Linked DNA regions of Canis lupus familiaris. The protein of the gene in region 2 interacts with the protein of the main gene of each other region in a biochemical or structural test. Links are inferred from orthologs where the notes say so. Each region holds a gene or a part of one and is shown on either strand. Other genes may lie near its edges. The genes, in order: TYRO3, GAS6 and AXL.

Region 1 (5,418 bases), on a different chromosome or scaffold from region 2:
GGATGGAAGGAGGCTCTGGAGGCCTCAAGCACACCCAGCAGGATCACTACGAATCAGTCCACCTGGACAGCCTGGTACACCTGACTAATGAGCTTAGTAATGGTGCAGCTCACCTAGCCAGGCACAGGGGTGTGCTCTGGCCACCACCAATAGCATCCTTGGGCAATGTGCATAGATTTGCACTCTGCCAGCCTCACCACCCCTACTCAAAGCCCCCTCCTGAGGCTCCTCACCTGTTACATTTAAAACAGAAGGAGAGGGAGCGGGTCCCCCAACCTTTGTGCCTCCTCTCCACCACACAATGGTAACAGGTTCAGGGGGACCCACGGCCTCACAAGACAGTTGGAAAGGGGCATTGGGTGGCACTGCCAGATCTTTTGGCTCCACAGTGAAAAATGGCACACCTGGGAAGAAAGGGAGGTGGGGAATGAGCCTTGCCACCTCTGTTTCCAACTACCCAAACCACAAGTTTGCTACCATTTGCAGCCCTCCGTGCAGAGGTCCTAAAGCCCTTATGATTGAGTCAACTGCAGAACAGGCATCTAGCTTGAGGGGGAAGCTTCTCTTCTTTGGGCACCTTAGGAATATCCTTTATGCTGTCCCCTTGGGCATAGTAGATTCTCTCTTCCGAGACAGCCCTTCTCAGAGCAGGGGAGGAGGGAGGGTAGGGAGCTGGGGGGAGGGTCACAAAGGGAGGGGGAGTGGGCGGAAGCTTTAGCAGAGTTCTGCTGGCAAGCCCCAGATCCCCGTTCAGGCCCCTTTGTTACTTTCTTAGTCACTTTGTTTTCCTGGGTTGAACAGCTCTGAGCTCCCGCAGCTGCGGAGCCTTCCTCCCCTCCCCCATCCCTCCCCCTCCTGGCCTGGCCACTTGGCAGGACTGGGTCCAGCCCCAGATGGGTGCTTGAGGTTTGCTGATCAAACAACTGGAATGGACTGCACCATGGGTTCTGGGTTCTTATTGTCCCCTTGGCTGTGAAATACCCAGACTCCAATGAGTAAGGTCTCCTGATGTCTGGGGTAGGCCTGGAGCCTGGTGCAATCAGGGCCCAGAGGGCAATGGGGCAGCCCAGCTTCCACTGAGCTTTTTCTTCTGCAGAGGTGTGGTCACTAGCAGACAGCACCTGCTCCAGGCCAACATGCCCACCTGTATCTCTGCTTCCTCACCTTCTACTGTGAGCCATACTGGTTGGGAGGTCTCCGTTTCACCCCCATCCTCCACCTGGCACCAGTACCGGCCTGCATCAGAGCGCTCCACTGACTTCAGGCTGTAGAAACAGGATACCAGGCTCGCCTCCCAGAGTTGGCAGGGGGCGCGCTGTGCTGGGCCGACTCAGTGGGTTCAGCCTACCCCCGCTTCTGGAAGTTTCCATAGGTTGCCAAATAAAAAACCCCAGACTTCTGGGCATCGGCATTGCCCCCAGCTCCCAAGCCCCAAGGAGAAAGCACAACGTGTCCCCAGGCTGGCATGCCACACCCTCCCCCCTGGCCCTGCACCTGAGGAAGCCAATCCAGTGCTGCTCACTGACTGGGATGTACACCTGATCCACACTCTGGACCACAGCCCCGTCCTTCACCCACTGTATCTCAGGCTCCTCCATTCCCTCCACACTGCAGTTGAGCTTCACCGGCTGCCCCTGAGACACAGTCAGCTTCACTGGGGCTCCCATGAGCTTCAGGCCTGAGAGGTGGGAAGGAGAAGGTGTCAGCCTGCTTGACAGGGACCCTGCCTCTGGAAATATCTCCCCTCCTCTTCCAGAACCTAGTGTCTGGTTCGCAGAGCTTATTCTCAACTAATGGTCAAGAAAGCAGAGGTTGGACGTGGGAGGGAGAGAAGGTGGCCGGGGCCTTGGCTGGGGGACGAAAAAAGACAAGCTATCCAGGCACCATTTCTGCCACTGCCAAGCTTCCCCCAGCTCTATGAAAGTGCCCTCTTCCCCATGCCTCCCGACTGGGTGATGTGAAGTTCAAGCCCAACCATCAAAAGGAAGGCAGGCCAAGCTAAAAAGATGGGGCCCTCTCATCCACCTGGGGCAGGTACTGCCTTGAGAATGACTGCTGCACCCATGGAGTGCAACAGGCGGCCAGCTCCCTGCCTCTCTAGGTGTCCGGCCAGACTTCAAGCTGCTGCTGGCACCCCCTTGCACCCCACCCTGGCAAATTAAACAAGGCTGAGGAAGAGAAGGAGGGGGTGCTCCCCTGAAGTGGAGAACATATGGCTGCAGAACCACGTCAGATCAAACACATGGCAGCCTTCCTGGCAGCCACCCGCTCTATTAATACCTGAATGTGTGCAGGGGCGGGTGCTAGGGAGGTAGGAGGTAGAAGAGAGCAGAGGGGCCCTGAACAGAAGCCCAAGACCCCTGAGCTACTGTCACACCAGCAGGAGCCACCTTGCAGAACACTATCCTCTGCATGGACACACACACACACACACACACACACACACACACACACACCTCCTAGTCTCCTGGCATGTTTTTAAGCAGAGGGGCAGGTGAACTATCCAAATAGTTGAATCCAGTCCTGCTTCTCCCTGCCCTTTGCTGTGTGACTCTAGGCGAATTCCTGGGCTCTCTCTGATCCTGAGATACACACTTTTCAGCTTGTAAATACTTGTCACTCTTTTCCTTCCCTAAGAATCTCATATGGCAGGGAGTACAGTCTCAAAACAAGGTGCCAGCTCTGTGGCTGCTGCTTTTAGCCTGTGTCACAGGGCACAGAGGGATAACCTCACACCCCATACACACCCAACAGTCCCAGAGGGTTGTAGTGTGAACTTGAGATGCAGGGTGCTGCGAGGAGCACTCCTACAATGGGCAAATGCCTCAGGGGCCATGTGGGAACACAAGGCTGACCCCCACAAAGACCAGCAACCTCGCTCCAACCCATCCTCTCCAACGTCCTCCGTTTCAGGAAGCTCTGAGTGGGTACAGGAACTAGAGTCTGTCCAGATGTTTTCTGTGCCTGGGCACCCTCACAGCCCTTGTACCTAAATGGTGTAGGTATGCCTCTTGGGGCTCAGTCCAGCCCCTGTGGTTTCCGAGCGGGACTTTCATGTGTAGGGCGGGCTGAATGGGGTCCCCAGGACTGCGAGGGGAGAGCAAACAACTAGATACGTCGAGGCGGGAAAATCCAGTTCGGAACAGCCCCCTCTGACCACTCAGCCCACGGCCCCACTCCTTTGCCTTCCACCCCGCCAGAAGAGCCCCGGACGCGAGAAAGTTGGGGGTGGGGCCCCTGCCGGGGGACCCGCAGCGGACACGGCGCGGCGCCCCCGCCCCCCGCCCCCCGCCCCCAGCCTCGGCCTTGCAGCGTGGGTCCCCCCACCCAAGTCTCCGGGCCGCCCGGGCCCGGGGCTCGCTCCGCTGCGGTCCCTGGGCGCCCACCCGGCCGCGCCCCTCCGCAGCCCCCGGGTTCCGCCGCCTCCCGACCAACCCCTACCTGCGGCCGCGGGCTCCGCGAGCAGCACAGCTGCCAGACCCGCCAGCAGCAGCAGCGGCGGCGGCGGCGGCGGCGGCGGCGGCAGCAGCGGCAGCGGCAGCGGCAGCGGCGGGAGCCCGGGCCGCCCCATGCTCCGCCTCAGCGCCATCGGCGGCGACGCCGCACCATGCCGGGCCCGGCCCGCGAGCGAGAGGGAGGAGGGAGGAGGGGGAGGGGGAGGGGGAGGGGGAGGGCCGGAGGAGGAGGAGGAGGGCCGGAGGAGGAGGGCCGCGGGAGGGGCGGGGGCCGGCCGGGGGCGGTGCTGGGGCCCGCGCCTCCGAGACCCGCGCCCGCTGCGAGTCGCGGCGGCGGCCGTCAACAGCGCGCGGTCCCCGGGGCCGCCGCTGGGCCACCGCGCTCCTTCCACAGCCGTCGCCGCCGTCGCCGCCGCCGCTGATTCATGTTCTCGGAGCCGCCGCCTCCTCCCCAGCCCGCCCGCCCGCAAGCCTGAGCTCGTACCGCCCCCCCGCGGAGCCTCGGGCCGCGCGCTCCGAGCGCCTACCCCGCCGCGGGCCCCGCCGGCCCCCGCCCGCGGGCCTCCCCCCTCCCCCCCCCCCGGCGCCGCGGCACCCCCGGCGGGCTTCCTCCGGGCCCGAGGATCGGCCGGGGCCCGGGGCGCACCCAGCCACGCCCCTCCATCCCCTAAACACACTCCAGCATCCTTTCAAACCCAGCACTCCGGGTCCTGCCGTCCAACCTCGCTGGAGCCTCTACCGCACCCCAACTTTCGTCCAGCGTGTGATGCCACAATCCCGTCCCCCGTCTCAGGACAGAAAGCATCTCAATCCCCTAAATTCCCCACCAATCAGGGCCCCCGAAATCGTGACTCAAGGCTCCCCACACAGGACCTACTAACACCCCTTCCTGCCTCTTTCTTGAGCCTTTCCCCGAAATTTCCCATATTCCTGCTCCATTTCCCACCCAAGATCTCCAGGATCTTGGCGGGGGGTGGGGGGGTGGGTTCCAAGATCTTTTTGCTAGTCCTCAGGTTTTATATCTGACATCCCCACTGATAGGCCAAAGCCCCATTGCCCATGTCTTTTGGGGCTGTCATTCTTACTAGCTGCTTCCTCTGCTTCTACCCTCCCTGCCCCTATCCCCTAGGACATGGTGTGAAAGTTGGCTGTGTCCTCACAGTATCCAATAAAACATTTAGCTATTATTAGTGGACCACCTTGCACACAGTAGGCATTCCATAAATAAACAGACAGATGCCTGTTAAATTAATGAATAATTGCCTCAGAGCTTGGCCTGCCCCACAACCAGTAATCATGAGGGTGGCTGTGCCCAAAGACATCCTGTCAGGCAGATGCAGAGCTGGTTCCAAACGCAGCCTACCAAGCTTTCTCCCTGGGCCTCTGCTGCTACCTGTCCCCTGGAGCCCACTCCAGAGGGCCCTTCCTAGAAGTCCTGCATAGGGAAGAGGAACAGGCTACTCAGCCCCCTGTTTCCTGAAGCCTCACTGGATCTTTCCAGGGATTCTCCCGAGCAGCAGGGGCCTGCCTCTTCCTCCACTTGGCCCCATCAGTGCTTGCTTATTAATTATACTAATGATAACAACAACAGCAGTGCTGGTGGCACCCTCAGACCCAGCTCCGGGCGCCCTCAGGTGGCAACACAGGGAGAGACTCCAAAAGGACAGACTTGGAAGGCAGGGACCTGAGGTCTCTGCTTAGCTGGGCGCTCTGCCAGTTTTCTTGGGTACTGTGGGTGGGCTATAGGACCCTTTTTTAAAGGAAAAGATTTGCTCTGTTCCGGAAGCCACAGCTTCTGAGTTTGGGCTGAGTCGGATCGGGGCAGGCAGACAACAATCTGGGGCTGAAGCCAGGTTCGCCAGGGCAGCGCTACTGCGGCAGCATGGCTGCTGCAGCTCTGCACTCCTGGAGGCCCTCTCCCACACCTCTCCTCTCTCCAGGGGACTTCAAGTTTCCAGTGAAA
Region 2 (4,848 bases):
TGACACCTGCCACTGGCGTGTCCCTGAGAATCCGGGCAGTTCTCTCGTACTACGGGCCTGCCCGGGGCAGAACAGATCTACTGAGGGAGAAGCGGCCTCAGGAGCAAGGCTTGCGCAACAGCCGGTGACAGGGTGAACTCTGAGTCAGACAGGACAGGGGGCCCTTCCCACTTTTGGGAAAACAGCTTCCACTTTTGTCATCATTCATGGCTCCTTCCCACCTGCTGCCTCAACCTGACAACAGCTGTCCTCTCCTCGAGCTGCGGCTGGCACCCAGGCCAGACGTGCACGGCCACGGCCCCAGGGACTTCCGGCCTGCGGGCTATGTCTGGGGCCATGTCTGCATGTGATGCACCCACAGCTGCTGGGAGTTCCCGGAGCCATGGTGTTTGCACGCCCCTGGGCGATGTGCTGTGTGCCGCGGGCACCTCCTGCTTTTGCCTCCTCGGGAGACCCTGAGTGACGAGGGTCTACTTAGCGCTCATTCACCAGGTCTGTGATGTGTGGGAGCTGACAGATCCCCTGCACCTTGGTGCTTGGTGCCTTCCCCCAGAACAAAGGTGTTCTCCTTAGCGTGATGGATTAACAGCAAGCATGGCAGGTGCCCCACCTGCGCGGCCAGGGTTCCTTGTGCTGACACCAGCTGACAGACACCTCCCCTTCTCTTGGCCATCGCCTGTTTCCTTGGGGACCTTGGGACCCCAGACCCAGCCAAGGGAAGCTGTGGGAATGAGGGGCCTTGCCAGTGTGGTGTGGAAGGGCCCAGACTTTCCATCTTGTCTTCCTTGATCAGACTCTGAGATGCTGGGAAGGAGGGGCTGCGGTCGCTCCACTTCTACAGCCCCCCAGCACCCTGGGAATGGGGGCTCTGGCCTTTCTGTCATTGCTCCTTGACTGCAGAGAGGGATCTCCAAGCCTCGCAGGTGGGGCCCTGTCCTAGGAGGAGAAGCAGATGAGGGCCTGGGCGGGGGGCAGAGGCAGGGCCTGTTTGGGGGCCTCGGGCCTCTTGGCCTTGGTGCACAGTGTAGGGTTGTGTCTAGGCTTGTGCCCCATGCCTGGTGCCAGCCCCACACACTGCCTGCCTCCGTTTTCCTGGTCACCGTGCTCTGATGAATGGTCGGACCGCAGCATCTCCAAAGGGCCACGTTTTGGCAGGATGCAGCGTGGAGGTGCTGAGAGGCTGGAGTCAGAGCGGTCCTCTGATAGAGCTCGGCCCTATGCATCACAGGGGTGCTCTCTCCCGTGGGAGGAGAAAGCTGGGTGTCATGGAGCCAGATGGGCACGTGAGGAGGGGCTGGCCTGGGAAGTGCAGTGTGCCAGAACCGCGGAGAACCCTTCCCCCATGCCACTGCCACTGTGGGCCATTCCCTGGTGGGTCTGGGCCCTCCAGCCACCAGCCCCTCCACCGTCACAAGCCCTGCAGGGGCCGTGGCAGCTCCTTACGGGTGGTGTTCAGAGAGCCTGTGCTTACGAGGCATCCTTCTTGGGGTGGCCCGTGTCCTGCAGCCAAGCTGTATGCATAGCACCCACAGCCTCCCCGGGGCAGTCAGGACTGTGGAGCCGGGTTCCTATGCTCCTGGACATGGTTGGCCTGGCTCTTGGACTGAAATTCAGGTTCAGAAGCATCCACACTGAGTCAGTGGACAGAGGGAACCCGCAGCCTTACGCCTGTGTCTCAGGGCCGCGTGCTGTTGCCAGAGCGCCTTCCTACGCTCACTGAGCCACGTTTGAGAGCCTATTTGCTGGCAGGCTGCCCTTGTGATGAGCTCCACCTGAGGCCCCGCAACACGGGTGTCCCGCTGCCGTCTGAGGGATCCATGTCGTCTGGACTAATAATTGCCTGTCCCAGATATTCGTTCTGCCCCTGGAGGAAACAGGATTAAGTGCAGAGGTTTTTGTATTTGTTCTTTGCCAAAGTAGCAGATGGATGAGCCTCAGGATGAGCCTCAACAATTCACCACTAGTGAGCTTGGTTTCCAACGGAGAGATGGGGTGTGTGGCTGGAGGTCATCCCTCAGGAGGTGAATGGAGCCTGGGAGCCTCCACTGGAAGTCCCCATCCTGGGCTCCAGTGCTTGGCCCTGGACGAGCTCAGCCGCATCCAGCAGTCTGAGATCAACCTCCTCAGCCGGGACCCCAGGCAGAAACATCCACCACGCCCGCCGTGCCTGAGCCTGGGGCTGCAGAGTCCAGTGGACGGGAGGAGGGCTTAGTCACCCTGGGAGCTGAGGCCACCCAAGGCTGTGGCTCACGCTGCAGCACCTCCCCTACCGACCAGGAGACAACCCTGGTCAAGGGCCCTGGCTTCTCTTGCAGACGTGGATGAGTGTGCAAATGGAGCTGCCTGCGGGGAGGCGCGCTGCCAGAACCTGCCTGGCTCCTACTCCTGCCTCTGTGATGAGGGCTACGCATTCAGCTCCCAGGAGAAGGCCTGCCGAGGTACCCCTCCACAGCTGCCCGCAGGCCCCGGCACAAACACCTGTGAACACATGTGTGCACACATGCAGCGCCCCACACATGACCACACATTTGCACACACATCACACATGTGTGCATGCCATGCACACATACATCCACAGGTACCTCTTAAAGCAACTAGGTGCCTTCTCCAAACTGCTGCAGACACAGAATTTAGGAGGAACGAGCTCTCAGGCCACACTGCTGTGTTTGGGGACAACTGACGAGCACTCGCTGTGTCCAGGGCATCTTCCTCCCCTTCCTTCCAAGAGGAAGGTGGGGTGGTCCCAGCCTCTGTCTCCCCTGCAGGGTGTCCCTGGGGCCCCTTTAGACCCTCAGGCCAAGCACCTCGTAGATGTGGTTTATGCGCTGAGCTGGTACCGTGCTCCAACCCTCCTTCAGCCTCTACACTAGCTGCTTCCCTTGAGAAACTGCAGAGGGTGTGCAGACATTGGAGACTGCTGACCAGCACAGCTCATGGCCAGGGAGCCAGGGGGGCGTGGGGTGGGCTGGGGAGTGGGTGCCTCCTGAGGCTCGTGCTCTGGAGCTTGTTTTCACAGCAAGCCAACCGCGTGCACGATCAGAGAAGGCATGGGCACTGCACCTGGTGAGGTTTGCCCATCTTCCCTGTGGTGGCAGATGTGGACGAGTGTGCGGAGGGACGCTGTGAGCAGGCCTGCGTCAACTCCCCAGGGGGATACAGCTGCCACTGTGATGGACGTGGAGGCCTCAAGCTGTCCCCAGACATGAACACCTGTGAGGTAAGTGCCCTCGGGGCAGCCGTCCTTCAGGAAGACAGTGCTGGAAGAGGTGTTTTTATGGGAAGGCCCAGTGTCCCCTGGCCGGTGGCAATGTAGGATGGAGGCATGTCTGTCCTGGGCATGAATTCCCTAGGCCTGGTGGCTCCCTACCCCCAACGACCTGGGGGCTACACCCAGAGTACACTCTGCCCTCCCTGTCTGCCCGCTCAGGCTCTGCCACACGTGTGCAGTCGGAGCCTCCTGCTTTTGGCCAGCCTGCCCACCTCTTGGACTCGTACCTGCTGGTCTCTCCGGGCCGTGGCGGTCTGAGTGTAACAGAGTCTCTGGTGTCTGTGTGCCACCTGCTGTGCATCTGGCTGGCGGAGTGGCGGGGGAGGGCCCGATTGCATCCTGACAGGCAGTGTGATGGGGAGGGGCTGAACCAGGTATGCCCCTCCTGACACCCCTTGCTCCCACTCCACAGGATATTTTGCCCTGCGTGCCTTTCAATGTGGCCAAAAGCATGAAGTCCTTGTACCTGGGTCGCATGTTCAGCGGGACACCCGTGATCAGACTGCGCTTCAAAAGGCTGCAGCCCACCAGGTGAGAGGCGGCGGCTCACACAATACAGAGCAGAGTGGACCAGAGCCCGAGGAATGGCTGGCCTGATGCTCCCTGGGCCCACAGACCCCTGGGCCATGCCCCAGGCTGCACCCCAGCGGTCTAGGCAGTCAGCCCGTTCCCTGCCCAGCCACAGCAGCACGGCTCCAACTCTGGGCCTCTGGGCGCCCACCAGTGCTTCTGGCATTCAGGGAAGAATCCCAGGCTGCCTGCACACGGCTGCTCTCTCCCTGCTGGTCTGGGTCCCTGGGGCAGGAGGCCGTGAGCCGCCAGCCCATGCATCACCTGTTTCTTTTTCGTGCTGGCCCTCAGGCTGGTCACCGAATTCGACTTCAGGACCTATGACCCTGAAGGCGTCCTCTTCTTTGCTGGAGGCCATCAGGACAGTACCTGGATCGTGCTGGGCCTGCGGGCTGGCCGGCTGGAACTGCAGCTCCGCTACCATGGTGTCGGCCGTGTCACCAGCAGTGGGCCTGTCATCAACCACGGCACATGGCAGACGGTGAGTGTGGCCACCACTCCAGCCCCAGGCCGGCTGGCATATGGGACTCCCGGGGAAGGGCCCTGGCATTTGCTCACGCGTTTGCACAGTCAGCAGTGAGTGGACACTGCACAGGCCCCTGCCCTGCGAGCCCGCAGGTGATGGGGCAAGAGCTGTGGTCTCAGGGGCTGTTCCACCAGGAGCTGCTGGCTATGTCCTGGTTCTGCTTGTCAGAGCTGCTCTTGGCAGCAGAGTCAGAGCCAGAGGGCTGCTGGTCACCCTGCAGCACACAGGATGCCCCACGTCTCAGAAAACCGTCCCGTTCAGAACATCCACAGTGCTGAGGCGGGGGTCCCTGGGCTGAGGTCTGGGCGCAGCTCCTGTCTCCATGCATCCACACCGTCCCAGGACCTGGCTTCTGGGGCCTGTGCCATTCCCACAGAAACCCCGGCACACTCCCACCCACGTGGGCGCCTCCTTCTGGAGAATGCCCTGACCATCCAGAGCCTGAACCATTCGCTCCTGGTGAGACCGTGCCGAGGGCAGCTTC
Region 3 (4,848 bases), on a different chromosome or scaffold from region 2:
CTGCTTAACCAACTGGGCCACCCAGGTGAAAAGTTTATTCTTTCTAGAGAGAATGCACACGAGTGAAGCAGGGAGGGGCAGAGGGAGAGAATCTTTAAGCAGACTCCCAGCTGAGTGGGGAGGCCCACATGGGGCTCCATCTCATGAACCATGAGATCATGGTCTGAGCTGAAACCAAGAGCTGGATGCTCAAGTGACAAAGCCACCCAGGCACCCCAGCTCAGTGGATTTCTACAAAGCAAACACAATAATATAACTAGCACCCAAGTCAAGAACAGACCATGACCTGCCCTCTTAAGAGTGGCCACCTTCCTGACTTCTCTTCTCATAGATTGGCCATTTCTGTTTGGGAATATAATCATAAACATGGAATCACGTACTATGTTTTCTTTCATGTCTGGCTTCTTTCATTCAACACAGTGTCTATGAGACAGCTGTCATGTAGTTAGTTGTGTGTAATTGCAATTTATTTTCATTGCTATATGGCAACAGTTCTCAAACTTATTGGCCTCAGGACCTGTTCTCATTCTTAAAATTACTGAGGACTGGGCAGCCCGGGTGGCTCAGCGGTTTATCACCGCCTTCCGCCCTGGACGTGATCCTGGAGACCCAGGATCGAGTCCCGCGTCGGGCTCCCTGCATGGAGCCTGCTTCTTCCTCTGCCTGTGTCTCTGCCTCTCTCTCTCTCTCTTTCTCTCTGTGTCTCATAAATAAATAAATAAATAAATAAATAAATAAATAAATAAATAAATAAATAAAAATTACTGAGGACTACATAGAGCTTTCATTCACTGGGATTATATGGATCAATACTTACTGTATTCAAAATTAAAATGGATAGATTTTTCAAACACAAGAATAAACCAACACACATTTGTCAACCAATAGAGTGTCAACCATCACACATCAGAGAACTTCTAAAAAAAACTCCACGGAACACATGTGAGAGAACGAGAGTGTTAAAGGGCATATAACATCTTGGAATTATTATGAAAATAGTTTTGACCTCATGGACCCCCTGCAAAGGTCTCAGGGACCCTCAGGGACCTGGATCACACTCTGAGAACTGCTGCTGCATGTCACCCCACTAGAGCGCCATGACCTCCTTGCTTCTTATTCTTGCTTCTCCTAAATAAATGTCTTTCCCAGCCCCTTCCAATATCTCCCTGGGGCCCCGGCAGCCTTCTCACTGTGTCCTGGGAAGAGACATCACTCTGTCTCTTTCCTTTCTGGATTTAAGTTTCTCCCAGCTGGAAAGATGAAGAGATTAGACAAGGTGCACTCTGAGGTCCTTCCTTAGCTGGGACCCTTCAAAATTCCACAGTCTACAGAGAGTCTAGAGCTCTTAGAGCATATGGTTTTCCAGATCTTAAGGGTCTATGATATTGAGCCTATGATTGTTTCGGCCAAAATCCATTCCACTCTCTAACATTCTAGAATTCCAAGAGGTAGTTAAGAGGATGAACTTCAGAGCAAAATGACCAGGGTTCAAAGCCCAGCTGTCTAACTTAAAAGCTGTGTGGCCTTGAGGAAGTTACTAACCACTCTGTACCCAGCTTCCCCATCTGTGAAAGTGGAGAGTGACTTACCTACTTCATTGGGTTGTCGTGAGAATTCAATTAAATGACGTGTGGGACACTTAGAACAGCACCTGTCACATAGGAAGTGCTAGGGCTGGCTGTCATTATTGGCTTTACAATTATCTAACCATCCTTGTCCTCTTCATTGCCATCATCATCATCATTATCGTCATCATCATTATACTGTTCTAGGATCCTGTGGCCCTAAAGTTTGGTCTTTCTATAACTTATTGTCTAGGACCCTGTTATTTTAAGGATCTGTGTGGTTTCACAATTCTGTTGTTCTTAGTCTATGGTTCTCACATCCTAGTATTCCGGGGTCTTTGGAAACTCTGGGTTCATGCATCGAAAGAAGCCCGGCAGACCCCAATCTCTACACTTGTCATCCCCACACCAGGGCAGGGAGGTATGAGGTTCACTTACAGGTGGCTTCAGTGGTCCGGCGACTGTAGGACTTGCGAACACGGTACCTAACCACCAGCTCACCCCTCTCCACTGTTGGTTCAAACACCTCTCTGGGGGGAATAGGCAGGAGGTGAGGGCAGGGCAGGACCAGGTGGAACCCCCTTTCTCGGACAACAGTGAAAGCGAACACCACCCTTAACCCCAAGCCCTGCCCGCCCTCTCCTCCAGCATTTGCTGAGTATGACTTGGACTTCTACCTTCTGCCTTCCATTTATTACCCAGACCCTTGACCTCATTCTGACTCTTGGTAATCTCTCATCTCGCACCAGCCTCCTCATGGTCTCCCTGACTCCAGCCTCTCCATCCCAGTCCAAGTTAGCCTCCCTACTCACGTAGTTCCAACTCACCCATAGCGGGTCTCCTTCTTCCGCCGGTGGACAAGGAACAGGGCCAAGATGAGGACACAACCGGCAGCCACGACTGCTCCCAGCAATACATACCACCAGGGCCATGAGAAGGCAGGGGCTGGGGGCTCACTCACTGTCAGGGGGTATGGCACACAGGTCATGGATGAAGCCCTGGATCCTGCTCCCCAGGACCCAAAGATATGATGTTGGAGGGAGACAGATGTGGAAATATCTAATGAGGCATGTAGTAGGTAGGTGCATCTACTTATCCAGGGAGATGGACTTGGGTGTGGAAAACACACAAGTTGTGTGAGCAGGGGAGGGGATGTGTGGAGTGTAGGATGGGTGTGTGGAGCGCATGCGAGGAGTATACAAGGAGTATGAGGCTCATGGACAAACGACCAAGGAATGGTCTTGAGGAACATGCACTGATGATGGAGGGGCTTCTATTAAGCGAGGGATAGAAGTGAAATACATGTGCAAAAGAAGGGTGCACAGAATGTCAGATGGGTATTGGAGGAGTTAGAGGTATGTGAGTGAGGAGTAGTTAAGGCATTTTAGATACACCTCATGAGCAACTTTTTGGTAAGGATGTAACGTTGGTGTGAGAGGAGTGTGGGCATGGGAGGAGATGAAATGGGGTGTCAAAGGGTGGGAATGGGTATGTAAGGGATGGAAATGGGTAGGTACGTGCTGAGTGTCCCAGGAGTTTGGTGTGGGTGTGTGCAGAGTGGGAACGGGTTAGGATTGGCGAGTGTTGAGGGAGTAATGTGTAAGGAGCATCACTCCCTGTGTGCAGGAAGAATTGAAGAGTGTGGGATAGTGTGGATCCAAAATTTTCCAGTATTTGCAATGTGGGATATACGGCGAGTGTGTAAAAAGTGTGCAGTCTGTGAATGAGAAGTGTGGGTGTGCACTGGGTTTGGGAGGCATGTGTGAGGAACGAAGGACAATAATAGGATGAATGGGACAGAAGGCTGGCATTAGTGTGGAAAGGGTATGCAAAGAAATGCAGGAAGGCACATAAGGAATCCTTAAGAATAGTAGGTTGAGTTACAAGAGATGAACTATAATAGTGCTAGGAGGGTACAAAGGGTGTTTGAGAATTGCTGGAGAAATATTTGAGAGGGATGGATTTGAGGGGGATAGCTCATCTGCCTGCCCACCCATCCATCCACCTATCTATCTATCCATCCATCCATCCATCCATCCATCCATCCATCCATCCACCATTCATTGAGTACCTACAATGTACGGGGGCCATTCCTGACAACATCAAGGACCACACAAACCCGAGAAGTAGAAGATTAGAATGATGAGTTTGAGAAACATGAAAGAAATGTCTATGGGTATGTTTGTGGTGATGGGGTCCTCACTGGGCATGAAGGCAAAGGAGGGAGGCAAGAGGGTGTGAAGCCCTTACCCAGCTGGTGGATTGGTTGTCCTTGCCCTGTGAGGAGAAAGGACAGAGGGAGGACTCAGAGAGGATAAGACTGGTGTGACACCGGTGAGACTCTCAGGAAGGTTTTGGGTAGGAAAAGAGCCCAGATTGGGGTAACATTGAAAGGTACAGGGAGCAAGTCAGGGCTATCTGGGCAAGACAGGGTCCTCGTGAATCAGTTGAAGGGGGCTGAGCAGGACTTTGGAGTTACCTGGGCGCCAGGGCTCCAGGGGCACAGGGAGGCTCCAGGGTCCATCCCCAGCAGCAGTGTAGGCTGCCACACACACTGTCAGGTTGGGCACCGTCCCATCCCCTTGCAGCTCCAGGGTCACCTCTCTCTTTAGCCCTATGTCCATGAGCACCTAGGACGTCCAGATGTAGCATCAAGGTAAAGCCCCCACCCCGCCACCCCTAACTCTTAAGACTTCACCCTCACCGTTAAGTCCCTATCTTTCTCAAAGCCCCCTCCCCACCCCCTAGCCCTTCACCCCTACCTCTTCCGACCCATCATCCCCACTGTCACCCCCACCTCCATTCTCCATCCCCATGCCCACTCCAACATCAGCTCCACCGGGACTGGGCCATTGCCTCATTCACAGCCCGTCGTCAAGTGCTAGCAAGTGAGGGACTGAACCCTCATCTTTCCACCCAGGTTCCTCTCTTTATCCCCTCCTAACCCCCCACCCTCTCTCTCCCACCCACCTCTCCAACCCAGGGTGCTGCTTGCTCCAAGACCACCTTTGTGCAAATTAGGAAAAGTCACCCCTTCTTCAAGATGTTATACAATTATCTGCTGTAAAATCATGATAGTACATTTGTAAGTCTACTGAAATGTTTTTCACAAGGACTTGTAAATAGCCACTCCCATTCCCTACCCCTTGCCTGGACCCCTTCCCAGGATGTGCCCTCCTAGGTGTAGTGTGGTCTCATATTACCCCAACTGCACTCGTGTCCTGTCCTCCCCATCTCCCTCCACCCAGCCATTCCGCCCCAGCCCAGCCAGCAGCACCCACCT

The links.
Region 1: the proteins of GAS6 (region 2) and TYRO3 form a complex in vitro, tested with the Homo sapiens proteins (2 studies listed by BioGRID). The link is inferred for Canis lupus familiaris from reciprocal best matches to the Homo sapiens genes GAS6 and TYRO3.
Region 3: the proteins of GAS6 (region 2) and AXL form a complex in vitro, tested with the Homo sapiens proteins (2 studies listed by BioGRID and IntAct, with this or other methods). The link is inferred for Canis lupus familiaris from reciprocal best matches to the Homo sapiens genes GAS6 and AXL.

Annotation. Positions count from the first base shown.
Region 1 is NC_049251.1:8,875,306-8,880,723, reverse strand, and holds the start of TYRO3 (tyrosine-protein kinase receptor TYRO3), read right to left. Parts: upstream 3,605-5,418; 5' UTR 3,590-3,604; coding exon 3,442-3,589; intron 1,679-3,441; coding exon 1,495-1,678; intron 1,266-1,494; coding exon 1,165-1,265; intron 405-1,164; coding exon 234-404; intron 1-233. UniProt on the Homo sapiens protein: Receptor tyrosine kinase that transduces signals from the extracellular matrix into the cytoplasm by binding to several ligands including TULP1 or GAS6. Regulates many physiological processes including cell survival, migration and differentiation.
Region 2 is NC_049243.1:61,139,370-61,144,217, reverse strand, and holds part of GAS6 (growth arrest-specific protein 6), read left to right. Parts: exon of another isoform or gene 1-144; intron 145-2,315; coding exon 2,316-2,438; intron 2,439-3,095; coding exon 3,096-3,217; intron 3,218-3,680; coding exon 3,681-3,799; intron 3,800-4,129; coding exon 4,130-4,319; intron 4,320-4,848. UniProt on the Homo sapiens protein: Ligand for tyrosine-protein kinase receptors AXL, TYRO3 and MER whose signaling is implicated in cell growth and survival, cell adhesion and cell migration.
Region 3 is NC_049222.1:113,493,644-113,498,491, forward strand, and holds part of AXL (tyrosine-protein kinase receptor UFO), read right to left. Parts: coding exon 4,847-4,848; intron 4,196-4,846; coding exon 4,045-4,195; intron 3,843-4,044; coding exon 3,816-3,842; intron 2,526-3,815; coding exon 2,393-2,525; intron 2,096-2,392; coding exon 2,004-2,095; intron 1-2,003. UniProt on the Homo sapiens protein: Receptor tyrosine kinase that transduces signals from the extracellular matrix into the cytoplasm by binding growth factor GAS6 and which is thus regulating many physiological processes including cell survival, cell proliferation, migration and differentiation.